Linked DNA regions of Drosophila melanogaster. The protein of the gene in region 1 interacts with the protein of each later gene in a pairwise test. Each region holds a gene or a part of one and is shown in the gene's direction. Other genes may lie near its edges.

The links. Proteins that work in one complex are often made in the same cells at the same time.
Region 2: the proteins of PPYR1 (region 1) and MtnA interact in a two-hybrid assay, tested with the Drosophila melanogaster proteins (one large-scale study listed by BioGRID).
Region 3: the proteins of PPYR1 (region 1) and Ssrp interact in a two-hybrid assay, tested with the Drosophila melanogaster proteins (one large-scale study listed by BioGRID).

What each region holds. Positions count from the first base shown.
Region 1 is NC_004354.4:15,241,460-15,249,081, reverse strand, and holds PPYR1 (protein phosphatase Y regulator 1), read left to right. Parts: upstream 1-4,168; 5' UTR 4,169-4,244; coding exon 4,245-5,174; 3' UTR 5,175-5,223; downstream 5,224-7,622.
Region 2 is NT_033777.3:9,780,729-9,786,166, reverse strand, and holds MtnA (metallothionein A), read left to right. Parts: upstream 1-1,796; 5' UTR 1,797-1,921; coding exon 1,922-1,943; intron 1,944-2,207; coding exon 2,208-2,308; 3' UTR 2,309-2,760; downstream 2,761-5,438. Other genes in the region: CG8500 (uncharacterized protein), read right to left, coding at 1-32, 90-260; CG12947 (uncharacterized protein), read right to left, coding at 3,410-3,627, 3,687-3,881, 3,940-4,470. UniProt on the Drosophila melanogaster protein: This protein binds cations of several transition elements. It is thought to be involved in detoxification processes.
Region 3 is NT_033778.4:23,803,683-23,810,779, reverse strand, and holds Ssrp (structure specific recognition protein), read left to right. Parts: upstream 1-1,775; 5' UTR 1,776-1,916; coding exon 1,917-1,970; intron 1,971-2,047; coding exon 2,048-3,619; intron 3,620-3,679; coding exon 3,680-4,225; 3' UTR 4,226-4,419; downstream 4,420-7,097. Other genes in the region: CG5543 (uncharacterized protein), read right to left, coding at 1-1,421; CG5539 (uncharacterized protein), read right to left, coding at 4,951-5,841; CG13561 (uncharacterized protein), read left to right, coding at 4,531-4,584, 4,645-4,800, 6,084-6,248, 6,310-6,465. UniProt on the Drosophila melanogaster protein: Component of the FACT complex, a general chromatin factor that acts to reorganize nucleosomes. The FACT complex is involved in multiple processes that require DNA as a template such as mRNA elongation, DNA replication and DNA repair.

The sequences.
Region 1 (7,622 bases):
GGATATTTCGTTGATGTTGCAAACAGATGCGGAGCCAGAGAGGCAGAGGAGGAGTTGAACTGGATCGGCTGCCAAAGGACGCGGCCTCCACTTTTGTCTATCAGGCAAATGACAGTCGCGTCCTGCCTCGTCCTTGTCCGCCCAATCTCCACCCATCACACACACCCCACCCTCCATCCAGCAACTCCTCCTGTTTCCTGTGTTTCCCGTGTCCCGTAGCCAGACGTTGTTTGTCTTCGACTTGGTCCCGGCTTAATATCACATGCAGAACCTACAACTCTGCACATGAAACGATGGCCCGAATCCGAAAGCTGGCAGCAAAAAAAATTCAGATTCTGGCTCAAACGCAGCGGATGGAATGGGTAAGCGGAAATATGGCCAAAAGATGATGGTGATGGGATGCTTCGTTCCACAAAGACAGTCAGCGGGAAAACGACAGCAGCAGCAGCAGGCAGCAGGCAGCGGCGGAAAATCATAAAGGAAAATATTGAATTTACTGCAAAAAATGCAAATTTCTCCTTTGAGGCAAGCCTGAAAACTCCGCTGACTGCCAAAAGTGATGGGTAGCAAAGGGGGTAATCGACGCAATGGTATATAAATATTTATATTTTATATTTAATAATAAGTGATACCTAATAGAAGTGGTACTGTAGCGATTTCGAACGATTATGTTTATTGAATTTCCAAGCAGTTTTTGCTAGAAATAGTAATAGATATTTTTAAATGTATTGATTAAAGAATATAATTCTTAAATGAAAATATTCTTAGAAAATATTTTGGTAAGCTGTAGGGTATTTTCGGCAGTATTATCCGCTGCTGCTTAGCGGCGAGCTGCTGTCAGTTGACTCTTATTCCGGTCCAGCTTCTTCGCCGCCTAGACGAGGACAGTCCAGTGGCCAGGACGACTGGCCGGCAGCCCACTTTGTGCCCTGCCAATCCCAGCGCACTTGTGTGTAATATCGCCGCAATTTGCTGGCCAGTTCAGTGCCAGGACCCCGAGCAATAAGCCAAAAACCAGACCATGCCATCCCATACCATATTATGCCATACCATACCATACCATACCGTGCCATTCCAGCCAATATAAGCCGTGTGGAGGTGGGCTCCTCATCGTCCTGCCGCAAACATTACGCGCTCACCTCGCCGCCGTTTGATTAAACTCATGGATGCGAGGGTGGATGGAAGACAAAATGTTTATGAGCGAATACCGCGAGCAATAAAATTTAATATGAGCAAATGATACGGGTATGGATGTGGAGGAAAAGGGCCAGAACCGACTGTGTAATAACCACAAATACAAACCACTGGCAGGGGCAATGACAATAAAGAACGAGCAGGAAAATCAAAGTTATGCAATGGCCCCCCGTCGAATGTCGAATGTATGTGTATGTTCTCCGGTGAGCGATAAAATTAACAATTCAATGAAGTGAATTCGAAATGGCAAATCGAAAAGCGAAGTCGAAGAAAATGGCGAAATTTGGCTTTGGACCTAGAGGGGCACAAATGAAAGCCACTCATCCCAAGACAAAAAAAAAAGAAAAGAACAAAATGTACACCAAAGCTCTCACACACACACAAATACACACACACACACACACAAACGCACATTCGGAATGGCTCATAAAAGAAATTGCGTATACGTTTAGGAGTACGAAGCCAGACGCTCAATAAAAATTAAAATAAAATAGGAAAATAGAAGCCCACAAAAAAGTTGCCCGAGCAGCTGTAACAATTACGATTGTTACTTGCCTGGGTTTTAATTTTTATCGCTTCCAGAAAAAGAACAAACTTGGTACATCATCACTTTTAATTTTTTTTCTCTCAACAAAAAGTTCTCTTTATATGCGGAAAATAGCTGGAATGAAAGTAATACACAGAAAGACAAGTTGTAATGTTTAAAACATAGAGTACGTGCTCAAAGTATATATATATATTGATGTGTTCTAGAATTGGAAAGAAAAAAAAAACAAATAAAAAAATTGTACAAAATAGTTAATTAGGCAAAATAAACAACAAAGTTTGCACAAATTTCTGTTATTCTCCCCCGTTTTCATTTCCATTAGAACTAAATGGACACAAAATTTTAAAATAGTTATGGCGTTTTTATTTATATTTAATGTTTTGCATCCCGTTCAAAGTTTGCGCAAAACCGTCTGCAAAATAAGTGTAAGGATAAGTGAAAACAAAGCAAGTTTCTTCCGCTCGAATTTCTCATTGTGGACTAATTTTGAATTGAAACCAAAACAATTTAACTTTATTGAAAATATTTGTTAAAATTAATATATGATTGTAAATTGGCATATGAAAAGCCAAAGCGAGGCTTCTATTATTTTGATTCAAACTAAATGTTTGGAGTTTCGAAACCGAACAACAAGCAACTGCCGCTCGAATTCCACATTGCGGCTTAATTTTTAATTAAAACAAAATGCACACTAAATGCCCAAATACTTGGAAAATGTCGTGTGCTGTTGATTTTGGCTGCTGATTTTGTTGTTCGAGCGACTGTTGAGTGGCTTTCATTAGGGGCAATCGATTGAATGGAATGGAAAGGCGGCTGTGCCTGCCGTCTTTTGTTGTTTGCTCGCCGTTTGCTAAAATGTTTGCACTTGGCTTAAACGCAAAATTTGCTGATATTTGGCAAACAGGCGAAAGGATGCCCCGGAATGCGAAATGCAAAATGTGAAATGTGAAATGCAGCGATGCGTTGTCAATGGCAGCATCTGCGGTTTTCCACTGCCACGAGTGGAGTGGGTATTTTCCGAGCGGTTTTTCAGGGTAGCGGCTCGAATTGTTCATATTTTGATTAATTTCACTGTTCTGCTGCGACTCCTTGCTGTTGTTGTTGTTCTTGTTGCTGCCGCTGTTTGTCAAGCGGAGTAATTGCAAAATCCAGTGCATCTGTATATGTGCGTGTGTGCTGCAATTATGCTCACGCACACATACGCACACACGCACACTTAAGCACACATGCAAACTGCAGTTAAGCAAATAAAGCGCTAAAAGCATAAACTAAATGAATTAAACGACACACAGAGAGGCTTACAGCCCCTGCATTATGTATACACCCCAGTGTATATGCGTGTATATGTGCATGCACATATATATATATATATATATATATGGCTGATATACACCCACCCATATTTTCCTGGAACTTTCTATAAAATATGAGATAATAAAAAGTGAATTATGTTTTTGCACAGCAGCGGCAGAGGCGAATATATACATAAAAAAAAAAAACGAGAGCAAAAATGGGGCGGTAGAAAAACACGAATCTCGCAAATAAATGCGAATAACTACATCAACAGGGGGGCCACAGCAACAACAAGAGTTAATTGCAATTGTTTGTTCGCCAGCTTAGTTTTTTATTTGCACTTTAATTATGAAAAATAGTAGCAGAGCAGAGCAGAAACTAATTTTCATAAGTACACAACTTTGTGCTGGAAAAACAGAAGCAACACACAACGAGGACGAGCAGACACATGACTTATGACAAAACACAGAACTTGATGGCCAAGACCATGGACCGACCCCTCGACCACTGGACTCTTGGCCACTGGACTTTTGGCCACTCCACAGAGACACAAGGGAGCCACAGGAACGGGAAGCCAAATGAAATGAACGGAGTGGGTAGAACGAAGCACTCGGCGAGCGTATAAAGTTATAAATAATAATGCCGGAAAATTGCGCTGGTAACTGAACGCTTAAATGAATATCCTAGCAACTCCATGGCAATCATATATATAACTTTTCGAAATAAATGAGGGGTTGCGAACACTAGAGACACGTAATTGAATGTTATGAAAAATACAAATATTTTATAACGAAATTCCTTGAGTAGCCTTTTATTGGAATTTGAAAAAATTATGATGTCCATATATATCAACTCAGTATTTATGTACCAATGCACAAGAAGTACATAACATAATGCATTTCAAAAGCCTCCATTAAACATATGCAAAGCATATATTAATTGAGTTATATGAATATATATTATGATCTTATCAAACTTATCAAACAAAAACTGAGCAACTGTAACTTCTGGCTTATATTTGCTGAGTCAATCTTAAACCGTTTTTGGGAAAACTTAGTTGCCCAGTCGATCAGCTGCCAGGCTCATTCCGTTTCTCATTCAGTTCAGCTCCAAACTCGCTCGCCTTCAGAGCTCCGATTATATAATAAATTATATATCTGATTTTTACTTAAATTCGAGCTTTAACAATCGTTGCACCTTCGACGACAGTATGAACGTACCACTCGTAGCCCTCACCAAGGATCCCAAGATGAAGAAGTCACAGAAGAAGTCATCAATGGTGGCCGTTCCCAAGATGTCGCAGAAACCACAGAAGGCAGCACGTCTATTTCAGCCAAAGGTGGAGAACAAGATTACTTTGACCACTCCATTGACTGCACCCAAAAAGGAACGGGTGAAGGACATCAAGGTGGCAGATCCTCTTGAGAAGGAAGTAGAGTCAGTATTCGTTACAGTACCGAAAAACAAACTTTGCAAAACCAGACGCAATCGTCCTGGTGACCGACTCTTTGATCGCCGTTCCGGATCGAAACGCACTGGCGTAAAGGCGGTGGAAAAACGCAATGGAGCCGGGGCCCACAACTGGGGATCCATCCAGCAGGAGATCGACTTGCGTCAGAGGACCAATTTGCGCACCTTCGAAGGGATGAAGTTACCAAAGGTATCGAGTTTCGTCTACGAGTACGATTCATCGGAGGAGACCGAACAATATACACTCGACGAGTGGCGTGCCATGCAGGCGCAGAAAAAGCAGGTTTTGAATAAGTTTATAATGTCTGATTTCGGTACAAAGAAAGAAGTAACAGGGGGTTCTGAAGAAACTGTACGAGCCGAGGGATCAGGAGACACAGACGACACCAAAGGATTGGACAAAACAGGAGGAACTGAACAAACAGGAAATACTGAAACAGGGGAGAGGTCTGCTGGATCTGGAGAAACAGAAACAGCCGCAGCATCTGGAGTACCTGACGCATCTGGAGGATCTGGAGGAACTGAGGGATCTGGAGGATTAGGAGGATCAGGAGAGCTGGAAGACGATGGCGAAGAATTAACCGCTGACCGCCCGTTGTACGTTGTTGATATTCTGTTAAATTTCAACACTGATCAAGGTGTTATTCCTTATCGCTTAAAATTCATTTAATTTGCTTGCGTTTGCGTGTTACATAGTATTAAATCGTTCAAAATTAAATAATACATGTATTTTGAATAATTTCTACGTTCTTTAGGATATATATAAATCATAAATACATATAAAAACATAATCAAATAAAAATTTTATATTAGTTTATCAAGCTTTTAGTGATCTGAACAATTTTCCTTATTTTTTCAGGGCCTTCCAAATAATTGGGAAACCCTTAAAGTCATTTTAAGGCTGTTTCCCACAGTTTTGATGGAATTTTCCGGCGTCACCGCAAACTTTTCAGTTTTCCATGTTGTGTTTCCGCCTGTTTCTCACGCCCACCCCCAAGTTCGCCGCCCTGTTTCTGGTTTTTGTGCCTTCTCCTTCATGTTACATTAAATTGAACAAATTCTAGCGAAACAAAAACAAAAGCACAAAACTGTGGGAGTATAAGGAACTTTAGAGTGCAAAAATGGGGGAAAAAATAAGTCTGCCAACTTTTTTGCGCGGCCTATTCTCTGTCCCCCTCTCCCTATCACAAACTCTATCGCCCTCTCGCTTGCACGAATTACACAACTCACACGGCCCAGAAAGAGCCGGCAATAGTGAGCGAAAGGGAGAGCAAGAGCAACCAAAACTATCTGCGGAACTGCAAATTAAATGAAATTCTAGAAAGGTTCTTAGTTCCACTGTGGGTTTTCCACTAATGAAAATCTCTGTGTTTCCTATTTTCTTCTCCCTTAGTTCATTTCCACTCTGAAAGGTAGAATTCCCGTAGAATTCCATTGAACTTGAATTTGTGTCGCACGTTTTACGTATTCTATAACTGGCAACCAATTAGGAGCAAGATGCCCAGTAAGCCGAGCAGATCTCGGAAAACTGGGTGCTTGTTAAAATTGATTGCCAGCAAAAGGAGGGCAAAACAAAAAAAAAAAAAAAACAACAAAAGCACAAACTGCTTAGGCATGTTACCTTTTTCCAGCTTTTCCGCTTTTCCTGCTCGTCCCGCTAACCATGCCTCTTCCAACTGATTCCCCGAACATTGATTTATATTTGTATTGACACTTGGAGCCCCCCCTTTCCCAAAAAAAAAAAAAAAAAATCCCGTGCCAACAGTGCCTTCCATGCTGTTTGCTGTTTGCCTATCGCACGAATTTGTCCTTGTCATTGTTTTACAAGCTGCCCCTTATCACGCCCCCTTTTACGTCCGCCTGCCCGAAAATCGGAGTCAAAGTGGAGAAAAATCGGGGGAAAATCGATTAGGCAGCAAGAAGTTGAGTTCGGGTTGGCCACTACAAATACTCATGAATATTAATGTTCAAGAAGGGTTATTTAACATTATTTTTAATATACAAATCATGCTATTATAACCTCATCTGCTCTGTATCAATAATGACCAACAATTTACTTTACAATGTTTTTCTTTTCACGTACAACTGAGCTTCATTAATAATCATTAAAAAAAAAAAAATAAAAATAATTATAATATAATTAAATATCAAGCCACAAACATCGCTATGCGTTGCACAAACTATTTTGCAAGTTTATCCCTCAATAAGCTGTCATTTAAATATATAAAAACTAATTTGCTGAATAGCGTGCAGATCATTTTAATTAAATATTGGCCAAGGGAAACCGCAAACTTATCAGCAGAATTTAAATGCCCGCTTCAAAAGCGATATGAAAATCGTACACAATGGCATCCAAAGAACAAAATGGTAATTGTGGCATAATTTTTGTGTGCATTTGGTCACACTTGAATAGTCTCGTTTCCGTCAACTGAAATTATTTCAAAGCTGACACGAGAAATTACCATTGATAAATGCCGGAAATGTGCTGCCCATGCCCACTCGACCACTCGCCCTCTCGCCCACTTTTGAACCACCCACTTCTCAACGGAGGGCATGACTGGGAATTCCGGAGAAGGCGGCGAATTCCCCCCACTTCCTGCCCAGCTCACAATGGCCATGCAAATTGGACACGGCTGCAGCAAAGCCACCCATTCCCAATCCCATTCCCACTCCCAGTTCGAGTCCCAGTCCGAGTCCCAATTCCAGTTTGAATCCCATTCCGATTGCCGGAGCGCCGGGTCATGTTTGTGTGGCGTGTGTTTGTTTAACTTGGTCATCAAGTCAAAACAAGAGGCGGAAAAGAATGGGCAATGAATGGGGATGAGGGTGGGGTTCGGAGCGGGCGGATTGGAGTGGTCATGGTTTGATGGTAGAAGGAGGAGAACTTGTGCTGTTGAATGCAACATGATTGGAGGTTTCTTTAAAAGGCTAAAGCTGCACAGAGCACTTCCTGCAATTAATGTCCAAGTCAGCATCGATTGACAATTTGGTTTGGTCTCGAATGGCCAGCAAAAACAATTGCTTTCAACTATATATATATGTTTTTACAATTGCAATTTGCGATAAACGAATGAAAGAGTAGCTATGTTAGCAATAAATGTGGGAAAGCCGCAAGAAA
Region 2 (5,438 bases), on another chromosome or scaffold:
AGCGTGCAGATGTTCTTGTTGCAGCTTATGACCTGTGCGAAGACCAGCGGATTATGTGAGTAATCTCTAGCACCAGGCGTCCCACCCACCTGTCTGTACGTATCCTCGATTGTTGGGATGTAGCTTTCGCGGAACGTGCCCTTTATGAAGCGCAGCACCAGTGAGCTCTTGCCCACGCCGCCGGCTCCAAAAACCACCACGCGGTAATCGTTGCTCTGCTCCGGTGCAGCGCGCGTCACCTGATTCTTCTGCTCCGTCATCCCGGTTACCGATACGGATTCGAGTGGGTCGAACGCGGTCGCGTATATCAAACTCGGAGTGGAAATCGGAATAGAGAGAAGCAGGAGCTGAAGCTTGTTGGCTTGCTGTCGGGCGCTGGTGGAATGTTCTACTTGGGCGCCATGCTTTCGTTTATCTGCAACAATTAAGAGCAAATCAGCTTGGCCACAACGCCCACGCACGCACAACCTTTCCGGTTCGCCAGTTGGTGGATGTGGGTGGTAGGGACGTGATGGGCGTGGGCGTGGGTGGCACTACCACTTTAGGGTCCCGCAACAAAAACAAAATGCGAAAGAAAGTTAACTTCCGAAAGCCGATGGTGATATACACTAGTAGGCATGTTAACACACTTTATTAGTTGAATTGGTTTTAAAATGTATATTCCTTTACACTAAAAAACTCTAAGAACCTTTTAAATTGATAATGAGTTGATTATATTATATATGATTCTATTATATAAACCCGCATAACTCCTTGGTTGACTTACAACTTCCTTATCAAAGTTGATAGAACTCCTTTTTAATAGTATATTTAATAACGGCAAACAATGTGTGTGAGAGTATCCCGCTAATTTTAGACATGTGGCAAGGAAGGGTATTGATTTTTCGCTCCACTGGCACTGATCGGCACCAGCCTCTCCTCATCATTATCGCCACGATTATGATTGCCCATGACCGGGTGCGGTATAAATAGGCCTGCTTTGAAGACAAGTGTCCCATTCGGAACGGTTTTCTATCCCATCCGCCCCCAAACACACACACACACACACAATACACACTAGCCGTAACTGCTCACTTCCGCTTGATTGTCCTGGTGGACCCGTGTGACACCTTTGGCCCGCCCCCTTCAACCGACTCGCCTTGCGATTTTCCGACGTTTTGTTTTCCCGCACACTCGTTGTTTTGTATGTGTTTTTTTTTCCACCTCGTACACCTCACGCGCTTTGCTCTTGGATTTTCCTCGCTTTATTTTGGCTTGGATTTATCGATTTTATCTGCACTGCACTTGCCACCCACACGCGAGAATCGAGGGAAAAGCCAGTAATGGCCACCGCATCCATATACCCGTTAATTGGGATGGCCCCAAAGGATCTGTGGGAGTCCCAACTATTGCGTAGCAGTATTTACTTGCATTTCGTTGCACTGGAATTCGTTGCAGGACAGGATGTGGTGCCCGATGTGACTAGCTCTTTGCTGCAGGCCGTCCTATCCTCTGGTTCCGATAAGAGACCCAGAACTCCGGCCCCCCACCGCCCACCGCCACCCCCATACATATGTGGTACGCAAGTAAGAGTGCCTGCGCATGCCCCATGTGCCCCACCAAGAGCTTTGCATCCCATACAAGTCCCCAAAGTGGAGAACCGAACCAATTCTTCGCGGGCAGAACAAAAGCTTCTGCACACGTCTCCACTCGAATTTGGAGCCGGCCGGCGTGTGCAAAAGAGGTGAATCGAACGAAAGACCCGTGTGTAAAGCCGCGTTTCCAAAATGTATAAAACCGAGAGCATCTGGCCAATGTGCATCAGTTGTGGTCAGCAGCAAAATCAAGTGAATCATCTCAGTGCAACTAAAGGCCTAAATAGCCCATACCTACCTTTTTTGTAAACAAGTGAACAAGTTCGAGGAAATACAACTCAATCAAGATGCCTTGCCCATGCGGAAGCGGTAAGTTCGCAGTCTGGTGTGATCCTTTAGGATATCACAGATCTTTCAGAGAAATGGTATTATACTAGTATAAAAATTCAATGGTGATTCAATAGTATAAAAATTCAAGCTGAAACTATCTGCAAAGTGAAATCTCTGAGTTCGTCTCTCTAAGAAAAGAAGTTCTTCAACTGCGTTTTATAAAATGGAACACTAATGTTATATGGCTTATGGATTACAGGATGTACCAGCATGTACTAATTTTTAAATTCTACTTCTTTCCAGGATGCAAATGCGCCAGCCAGGCCACCAAGGGATCCTGCAACTGCGGATCTGACTGCAAGTGCGGCGGCGACAAGAAATCCGCCTGCGGCTGCTCCGAGTGAGCTTTCCCCCAAAAAAGATCTGGAGTAGAGGCGCTGCATCTTGTCTCTCTACACACCCTGCAATAAATGTCCAATTAAAGTAATTGATGCCTAACTGCGTCTTTTCGGGTTGCATAATCAATTGGTCTGCGGCATTCTAGGTTAGATTCGCTTTTATTGGAGGTAGCTTCTAGCTACGTGGTCGGCAATATGCGTCGTGGAAATGGGATGGTCAAGTGTTTTCCACAATGTGCATATACATATGTACATAACACTAAAGTCAGTTGAGCAATATGGTAATCTGAGATGCCTCACTTCTGAAGCGACTGAGGGATTGAGTTTCAAAGCACAGCGGCTTGAACTCATGACTTGTAGATAAAAATACAGTTGCGGGCGTTAGAATATAGCCGCTATCGAATGGATAATATTAAAGAATACTAGCTTTAGAAATAATAAAAATATATTACCCTATCAAATTTAAAACGATTTTAGGCATAACAACGAAATGGGTAATGAAAGTTCATATTTAAATCGGCTTCCATTATTTTATAGGTGATTCATAGAAATATATGATTGTAGACTTATTATTGCTCAGTCTGTTTTGTGAAATGCCTCGTTTATAGCGCAAAAGTGCCATATAGTTTTAGATGTAATATGATCGCGCAATTAACATGAAAGTGTAAGAACCCGGCATATAAACGATATACCAACGAAATAAGTCAAGAACAAGAACCCCACGGCAGTCGGGTGAAGTGACCTAGGAGGCGTAGGGTTACGGGAGACCTCCACCTCAGACCTCCAGTGGAAAAGCCGCAGATGGAGTTTATGGTTCGTATACATACATATATACTTTATTTACTTTGCTAGCCTACGAATGCAGCTTAGGTCTAATACTAGGCTAGGTGAACAATACTTAATGGAGAATTACGAATGGATGGGGTGCGCAGTATACAAAGGTGCATACATATGTATGTCTATGAATGGTATGGGTGTGGGCATATCTTCTTTTTGGTTATCAGCGTGGCCAAACAAACCCGGGCGAGATTTCACGGCGGTTTCGAAATGGTTCTGTCGAAGGTGCTCGACGCACGTTGAAAAATAGTGGGAAATTCACGGTTCGCCCTACTTGATAACGATATTCTGTGCCAGTCGCTTCACGAAGTCCACGTTGAGAAAGTTGGCCATCAGTGTGAGCACGGACTTCTTGGGCGGCCGGCAGTGGCGCAGTCCCGCCTCCTGGCAGCACACATTCGGAAAGCAATCCAAGGTGGAGGTGCACGCCTTGGGATGAAGGTCAAAGATGGGCGGCGGCGGGGCTGTGCACTCCAGGTACTCTGTAACTGGAAAAGCGCAAGGCTTCGATTGATTTCGGTTATCATACGGAAAACTTTTAACTTACGATAGTCGAAGGATCGCTTCACTGGCACTGGAGCTGTTTCCAACTCCGGCTGCGAGGTGCGGCAGTATCTCCTACGCCCATCCGGGCAACAGACCCTTGGCCAGCAGTCCATGTCTGTGGAGCACTCCTGGACGTCCCACCAGAGCTCGGCGAGCGGTCTACTCGGGCACTTGCGAGGTATCAAGCCCAGAATGGCTAGCAAGAGCAATAAATTGAATAATATCTATAGCAGCTAAGGATTAAACCCACTTACGAGCATGTGGAGTCTCCTCTAGCGGCTTTGGAACGCCAGAGACACAGCTGCTTGCTCCAAAGATATCACAGCACAGCTCATCCCGTTGCCACACGGCACAGTCTCGATCCGCCTTGCAGATCTTGGGGAATAGCTGGAACCTCACCTCGTTCTCCCGCGGACAATCGAACCTCAAGCGCAGCTCGGCAGCCGACCTCTTGCCCTTCTCCGTTTCCCTATCCCTGTTCTTATCCTGGTTGTCGCGTGGGAAGTTCAAGGTGGGCAGTGCAATGCGAAAGGGTCCATCTGTAGTGGGTTTTTGTGTGCTAGTTGTTGTTGCGCTTCGACTAGTTGTACTCGTTCTCTGATCCATCGGTTTCCTAGTGGTCTTGGCCACTTTTCGTTGGCCGGACTTTTCGTCCTTGGGACTAAACTTTTTCGGCGGATGGGCCTGCTTGGTGGGCGGACGCACTGCCACCAGACTCTGCTGGCCGAAACTCCAGAAGTTCCGATTAAAGAAGTTGAAGCCGTTGGCCAGGCTGGGACGCGGAGCTGGGGATTGGATGTGGAAAGCGGGTTTACCAGTGTGCTTAATGACCATTAGTGTTTCTGCTCCAAATAGCAGACATTACACGTCAAGTAAAGCGCAGTTCCCGCCGCTCATGAAGAGCGTTTGATTTGGCTTTTTTGTTTTTTTTTTTTGTTTTATACTTCTGTTTCGTTATTAAGCCAGGCCAACAATGGATCAGCAATAGCGCAGCCTGTTGGCAAACGTTTCCCACCCACTCCATGCGCTCCATAGACCCAACGCAATTGTCTACTTGGCTGCTTGCAACAGCAGGTGGACGCAAGTGAATCACCCGCGAAAACGGCCATACTACCCAGATCATTACTCCCTATGTTAACGAGATCTTCTTCGAGAGCAATTTGATGGTATATACTTAAAATTTCCAGCTCATAAAAGTAGCTAATGGAGAAGTAGCTTAAATTTAATTTAATTTTAGACCCTCCCCGACCGAAAATGGGGTGGAATTCTATAGCCGAGTGATCATGATCACGATCATGCAAATTGGCAAAGGCCTAGGCCCCAATAATTCGTGGCCTTGCATACGCCTCTCCAGTTCGGACTTAGCCAAGGTCTCCTGATGCAGCCGAAGCCGATTCGAAAGCTCCGGTGCTCCAGTTACCTATGCACCTATGGCTAACTACGTTAACGAATCCCAAACGGGTATATCTGGTTTTATTCACAATTTGTCAGAATAATGAAACCTGTGAATCCAAGGCGAAACTATTTATCTGCAGTTTTGCAATTAATCTTGCATTTACTTTTGATTGTCCAAGTAGCTTAATGGATAAGCGATCTTAACCAGGATTGGCACCTCAGCTTAGTTCTGATGCTAGAAACTTTGAAGTGATCAGATATAAATATATATAGGTAGCTAGATTTCTAGATCCTAAACTAACTCATTTATGCAAAGGGTATTCCACCATCGGTACACTTTGAGTGACCTTTTCCCAGA
Region 3 (7,097 bases), on another chromosome or scaffold:
TGCGCGTTGGACACGGGAATCCGCTGCACTTCCTCGTAGCTCTTAGTGCTGTAGAAATACAGGTTCGCTTCGGCCTGGCCCTTCGGAAGCGATTCTCCGGTGACTAGCAGACGGTCATCTGGACTAAAGCAGCAATCTGTTGTGTCGTAGCGGGAGAACAGGTTTGTCCAGGTATGCAGCGGCTGTTTGAACTGCCGCAGATCCCAAAGCTTCATGGTCTCGTCGTTGCTGCGAGTGGCCAACTGCTGACCCATGTACGAGAACACAATGGAGGTGATCTCCGAACCCTTCTGATGCGCATCCCTGACGCAGTGCGTGGTGTTCACAAACATCTTGCGCGTGTCCCACGTCTGAATGGAACCATCCACGCAGCCCGCTGCTATGAGTGTGGCGTCCCTGTTAAAGTTGCATGATGCTGCGTTGGTGCGGAGGCCTCCCTGCGCCCTTGTCTTGATCACCTGCAACTGTTCCTTGGACTTCAATCCCTGCCAGATGCGCAGAGTACCGTCGAGAGCTGCGGTCAGGAACTGCTCCCTGTTAAATGGATGCCAGCAGCCGGAGGTCAACTGTGCCACGTGGCCCTTGGTGCGCGACATGTCCGAGATATACTGGTCGCCCTTGCAGCACTCCAGTTTCTCGAATCCATCGCGGTCGAGGACCTTGGCCTGGGCGTTTCCGGAGATGACCAGGATCATGTCGCCGGTCACGGAGTACTGGAGAGAACGTATGGGATGGTTCTCGCACGGCTGCAGTTGCCGGAAGCTACGCATGCTCGAGTCCATGCCGGCGAAATCCCAGAAGCACATATCGTAGTCTATGGAACCAGAGACCAAGCGGGCACCCGAGGGATCGCCAGCCAGGGCAAGGACAGCGCGGGAACCGTGCTGCATCTGCACCTCGTGTGTGTAGGGTATGCGCTTAGCAAGGCTTTGTTCGTCATCTGAATCTTCATCGGACGAATAATCATCGTCATCGGAGTCTTCGTCTTTGGACGATTCCTTCGTGGCTTTCTCCTTGTCTGTGGTCACAGCTGGTGGTAGGGGACCTATTACGTCCTCCTCTTCCTCGTCTTTCTGGTCATCCTCCTTCGGCTTGGACTCCTCCCTTTTTTTGTCCATTCCCGGGCGGGTAACTCTCGCCTTTTCTATCTGCTCGTTGATGTCGAACACCTTGGCCGCCTTGCGACCAAAGCCACTGATGCCCATCACTTCCTTGAGGTGCTGGCTCTCCAGATCTTCGGCCACGTCCTCGATCTGCCGAATCATCTGCTCCTTGTCCATTTTCTTGAATCCTCCGCCATTTCCGCTGGCTTCAGTGGACTCCTTTGCATCTTCCGCCTCGGTTTCGTTGGATCTTGGCTCCGCAGGAGGTACGTTTACATTCAGTTTGATTTTCCCGAAGGAAATTTTACCGCGTTGCATAGTTTTAAGGCCCCACGCTAAGTGGATTTTCAAATTTTTAATTAAAACTATATTTCTCTGAAAATATGCGGTAAATATTTTGTAAACAAGTGAATTAAGTGACCGTTTATATTCGGACTGTCAATTTGGTATTTTAAAAGATCGAGCGAATTGTTATGGTCTTTAAATAAGCTCTGGCTTGCCCATTAAAATTTTTCAATTTAATAATGACTCATATATTGTTCATGTATTGCAAACAAGATATATATAAACAATAAAGGAAACTGCATTGGAATATTAAGAGTTTATATCGATTGCAATTTAAGAATAGTGCACTCAAAAATACTAAACACACATACGGTCACTCTAATATAGCTGACTGGCGTCTAACCTAAAATTAGGCGCGCAGTGTTGTTTTGTGTCTGCCGGAATTATTGTAAATTGGTGACAATTTCGCAAGGCGGCGTAATACATAGTTGATCTATTATCTTGTTACTGGAGAGGAAGAAGTGCAGGATGACAGACTCTCTGGAGTACAACGACATAAACGCCGAAGTGCGCGGAGTCTTGGTGAGTCGCAAAAAAGCCGGCGTATTTTGTCACATTTCGCATGACCGAGGTTTTCCATTTCCCTGCGCGCAAAAAAGTGTTCCGGACGCCTAAAGATGACCGAGCAGAACATCATCTTCAAGAACACCAAGACCGGCAAGGTGGAGCAGATCTCGGCAGAGGACATAGACCTGATCAATTCGCAGAAGTTCGTGGGCACCTGGGGACTGAGGGTGTTCACCAAAGGCGGCGTGCTCCACCGCTTCACCGGATTCCGCGACAGCGAGCACGAGAAGCTGGGCAAGTTTATCAAGGCTGCCTACTCGCAGGAGATGGTCGAGAAGGAGATGTGCGTCAAGGGCTGGAACTGGGGCACCGCCCGCTTCATGGGCTCCGTCCTGAGCTTCGACAAGGAGTCGAAGACCATCTTCGAGGTGCCGCTGTCGCACGTTTCGCAGTGCGTGACCGGCAAGAACGAGGTCACCCTGGAGTTCCACCAAAACGACGATGCGCCCGTGGGTCTACTGGAGATGCGGTTCCACATACCCGCCGTGGAGTCGGCCGAGGAGGATCCGGTAGACAAGTTCCACCAGAACGTAATGAGCAAGGCCTCGGTCATCTCGGCTTCGGGCGAGTCCATCGCCATTTTCAGAGAGATCCAGATCCTCACGCCTCGCGGTCGCTATGACATCAAGATCTTCTCGACCTTCTTCCAGCTGCACGGCAAGACGTTCGACTACAAGATTCCCATGGACTCGGTGCTGCGGCTCTTCATGCTGCCCCACAAAGACAGTCGACAGATGTTCTTTGTGCTCTCCTTGGATCCGCCCATCAAGCAGGGACAAACGCGTTACCACTACCTGGTCCTGCTGTTTGCTCCCGATGAGGAGACCACCATTGAGCTGCCATTCTCGGAAGCCGAGTTGCGAGACAAGTACGAGGGCAAGCTGGAGAAAGAGATCTCCGGGCCGGTGTACGAGGTGATGGGCAAAGTGATGAAGGTGCTGATCGGTCGAAAAATTACCGGACCCGGTAACTTTATCGGACACTCTGGCACGGCTGCAGTGGGCTGCTCGTTCAAGGCTGCAGCTGGATATCTGTATCCCCTGGAGCGAGGATTCATCTATATCCACAAGCCACCGCTGCATATCCGCTTTGAGGAGATTAGTTCTGTGAACTTTGCCCGCAGCGGCGGATCCACGCGATCTTTCGACTTCGAAGTGACGCTCAAGAACGGAACTGTTCACATCTTCTCCTCCATCGAGAAGGAGGAGTATGCCAAGCTCTTCGACTACATCACACAGAAGAAGTTGCATGTCAGCAACATGGGCAAGGACAAGAGCGGCTACAAGGACGTGGACTTTGGTGATTCGGACAACGAGAACGAACCAGATGCCTATCTGGCTCGCCTCAAGGCTGAGGCGAGGGAAAAGGAGGAGGACGACGACGATGGCGACTCGGATGAAGAGTCCACGGATGAGGACTTCAAGCCCAACGAGAACGAGTCCGATGTGGCCGAGGAGTATGACAGCAACGTGGAGAGTGATTCGGACGATGACAGCGATGCTAGTGGCGGCGGAGGCGACAGCGACGGCGCCAAGAAAAAGAAGGAGAAGAAGTCCGAGAAGAAAGAGAAAAAGGAGAAAAAACACAAGGAGAAGGAGAGAACAGTGAGTAATGTTTGCTTATTATTATAGCTTATGGTAACATGTTTTTATATGTTTTTATAGAAGAAACCCTCCAAGAAGAAGAAGGACTCTGGCAAACCCAAGCGCGCCACCACCGCTTTCATGCTCTGGCTGAACGACACGCGCGAGAGCATCAAGAGGGAAAATCCGGGCATAAAGGTTACCGAGATCGCCAAGAAGGGCGGCGAGATGTGGAAGGAGCTGAAGGACAAGTCCAAGTGGGAGGATGCGGCGGCCAAGGACAAGCAGCGCTACCACGACGAGATGCGCAACTACAAGCCTGAAGCGGGCGGTGACAGCGACAACGAGAAGGGTGGAAAGTCCTCCAAGAAGCGCAAGACGGAGCCTTCTCCATCCAAGAAGGCGAATACCTCGGGCAGCGGCTTCAAGAGCAAGGAGTACATTTCGGACGACGACTCCACCAGCTCCGACGACGAGAAGGACAACGAGCCTGCCAAGAAGAAGAGCAAGCCCCCATCCGACGGCGATGCCAAGAAGAAAAAGGCCAAGAGCGAGAGCGAACCGGAGGAGAGCGAGGAGGACAGCAATGCCAGCGATGAGGATGAGGAAGATGAGGCCAGTGATTAGGGCCATAAACACAACAAATCAATTCCATAAACACACACCACGCTCCTCACACACCCATGTCCCAAATCTAGTTTACATTCGCCTAGTTTAGTTAAGTGCTGCCTGTTGGATACAGACCCATACGTTTTTGTTTAATTAAAACTCAACAACAATTCGAAAGTTCAAGTAATTAAACAGAATTGATAATTGCCCGTAATGATTGATATCTATCGATTATGGTTTCGCTTGACTGGCTTTTGCCACTTTCGTCAACATTATAATGCCACAGTTTGCCAGTTTTTAATGGCTCTTTGGTGAACTTAGTGATGGCCACGTTGACAGAGTTATTCCTCTTGTTTGGGCTGTGGCACATTTTGCAGGCAAGTTCGACCGTAAGCTAGGCCGGCTGGGATTATGAACCGAACACTAGCTCACTTCAGGTCCAAGGAGTTGCCAAGTTCACAAACATCGAGTGCCTGAGTGCGGACGAAAACTTCACCACCGTTTCCCTGTGCCGATTGTACGCCGTAAAGAGGGATGTCGTCGAAATGAGTCTGCGGGCCAACATCCTGCGATGGCCAAAAGGTCCGGTATCGGTGAGTTAGTTTGCAAAGCTAGGGCGTTCCTGAATGCCATAGTTGAATAGCTATCTATAGTAGAAAATGCGAGTCCAAAACACTAGTAATTAAACAACTTGAAACCTATCCATGCCTAAAACCAATTTATGTTTTGAATTAATGAAATAACTATAAACCTGTTTGAGGTTTCACAAATGATTGTGCTAAAAGACGGCGACGGCTGGCCGGTTGACGCTGCTGACGCACTTCCTGGCCGCTGGTCTCCATCGCCGTCTTGGCCAGCAGATCCTCCACATCGTCATGGAGGTCCTCCAGCTTGGTGGCGGAGGCAATAGCAATGGCATTCTTGAACTTGCGCTGAGGTCGGCGATTAATTATCCTGGGTGATTCCGACGACACGTCGCTCTGGAACTGCTCCGCCTGCAGGTGCGTGGTGGCCTTCGAAACGCCCACCAGAAGCTCCTCAGAGTCGTCACGGAGGTGCTCTAAGCTGCCAACGGGACTGGAACCACTGGACAGATTTTGGACAGAGACGTTGGCCGAGTCAGTATCCTCGGAAGTTCTGCCTCCAATTCCTTCTCCAGTGGAGTCCTGCAACAGATCGGAAGTCCTAAGGGGAGCAGTGCTCGATCTCGACCAGAAGCTGGACACGAAAGGCAGTACAGAGATTTGGGTCTGTGCCACCAGCTGTGTCATCGAAGCGAGGGCGTCGATCAGGAGCTTCTCCTTGCCCCGGTGCAGGAAGTGATCGATCTCCTCCTGCCGCTTTGCCAGCACCGGACGCAGGATGGCGTCGAATATCCAGACATTGGCGGCCGGAGCGGACAGCACGATCCACACGACCAGGAGCAACTTGGTGGGCATGTAGAGCGGCAGCCAGGAGAGGAAGACGTCCGCCAGCACCTCGAAGGTGACCAGGAAGGCGTAAACTATCCAGTATTTGGCCCAGGCCAGGAACTCCTCGTCTCCGCTGTTCAGAGTCTTATAGGTTTGCCAGGCCGGTCCCATGGTGCCGTAAACGAAGAACAGGAACTGCGAAACAAGGCCAAAGAAACACATATCTAAAATATACGGTGGATACTAGGACTGCCAGAATAAGTGTTCTTCTTTTGGAAAATTCCGAATTTAATGCATGGGCTATAATCGAAATTGGCAGTTTAAGATCGATGTGCCTGTGTATCTAACTGTTTGTTTAAAAGTGTGGCGATATTCTACAGCCAGTTGTGTGTAAAGTGTAAAGCACAGCCTGCTGGCGTATAGCACCAACACCTTAGTGTAATACCAATATGTTTCTCCTTCAGATGCGCATGCAGCTGCTGAAGAAGGCCAGTGGCTATAAGCCCTTTCTCTACAATATCTGCCAGTCGGATGTGTGCGAGTATCTGGAGAAGCGGAATCATCCCTTCATTAACATCATCCTGAGCAGTTTCGGGAACAGAACCAATGTGAACAAGTGTCCGATTCCAGTGAGTTTGCCTAAGAAATGATTGATTATGATGTTTACTTCAGTTCTTCTATCGATTACAGCCGGAAATAGTGTTGGAGCACTTTCGGTTTCCCGTCAAGGTTCTGGACATGATGCCCCTGCCCTTCGGGGACTACGGACTCTTCACCACCTTCACTTTCCACCGATCGGAGTTGGCCCAGGTTAAGGTGTACTTCACATTAACAGAGTATCGCTAAAGGCACACAAATCACGAGTCGCATCGAGTATTTGTTATAAACATCAGACGCGGTGCAATAAACCAATTAATAAATTTGCCATAAATTTGTTAACTGCCCGTAAAAGAGCTCTCCGATTTGATTATCCCTTTGTAATTGCAATAAACGGATTTTAATTAAAATTATTAATGCGTGCATTTCATTTGAGTGTAATATGTAAATGGTTCTGACACGTGGGAACGCGAACCGATTTCACTGAAAAACATGGCTCATTCGGATAATTTTCGGCCAATCCAAGGTTAGGAGCATTGGCTTCTGATTCAGATCGGTTTTCGGTCGAAATTTCTTTCGCACAATGAGCCAAAAAGTCTTGACCCTGTCCAAAGCCGAACGCTCGTTCATGACATTTCAGTTAGGCAGGCATTCAAAAAGCCATCAAGAAAAGGTTCCCATACCATTCCCATTCACAGAAATCTCAGCTATTGAAACCGAAACCGAAACCGAAACCCAAATCAATTGTAATTGCGTCTAATAAATGAAATGTTGACGGAAATAACGCAGAGGCATTACGTGTGCGATTGTAAAAGGCAAATTCACAATTACCAGCATGCATGCATAATTAATTTGTGGGTCAATTGCGAAAACTTGAACTT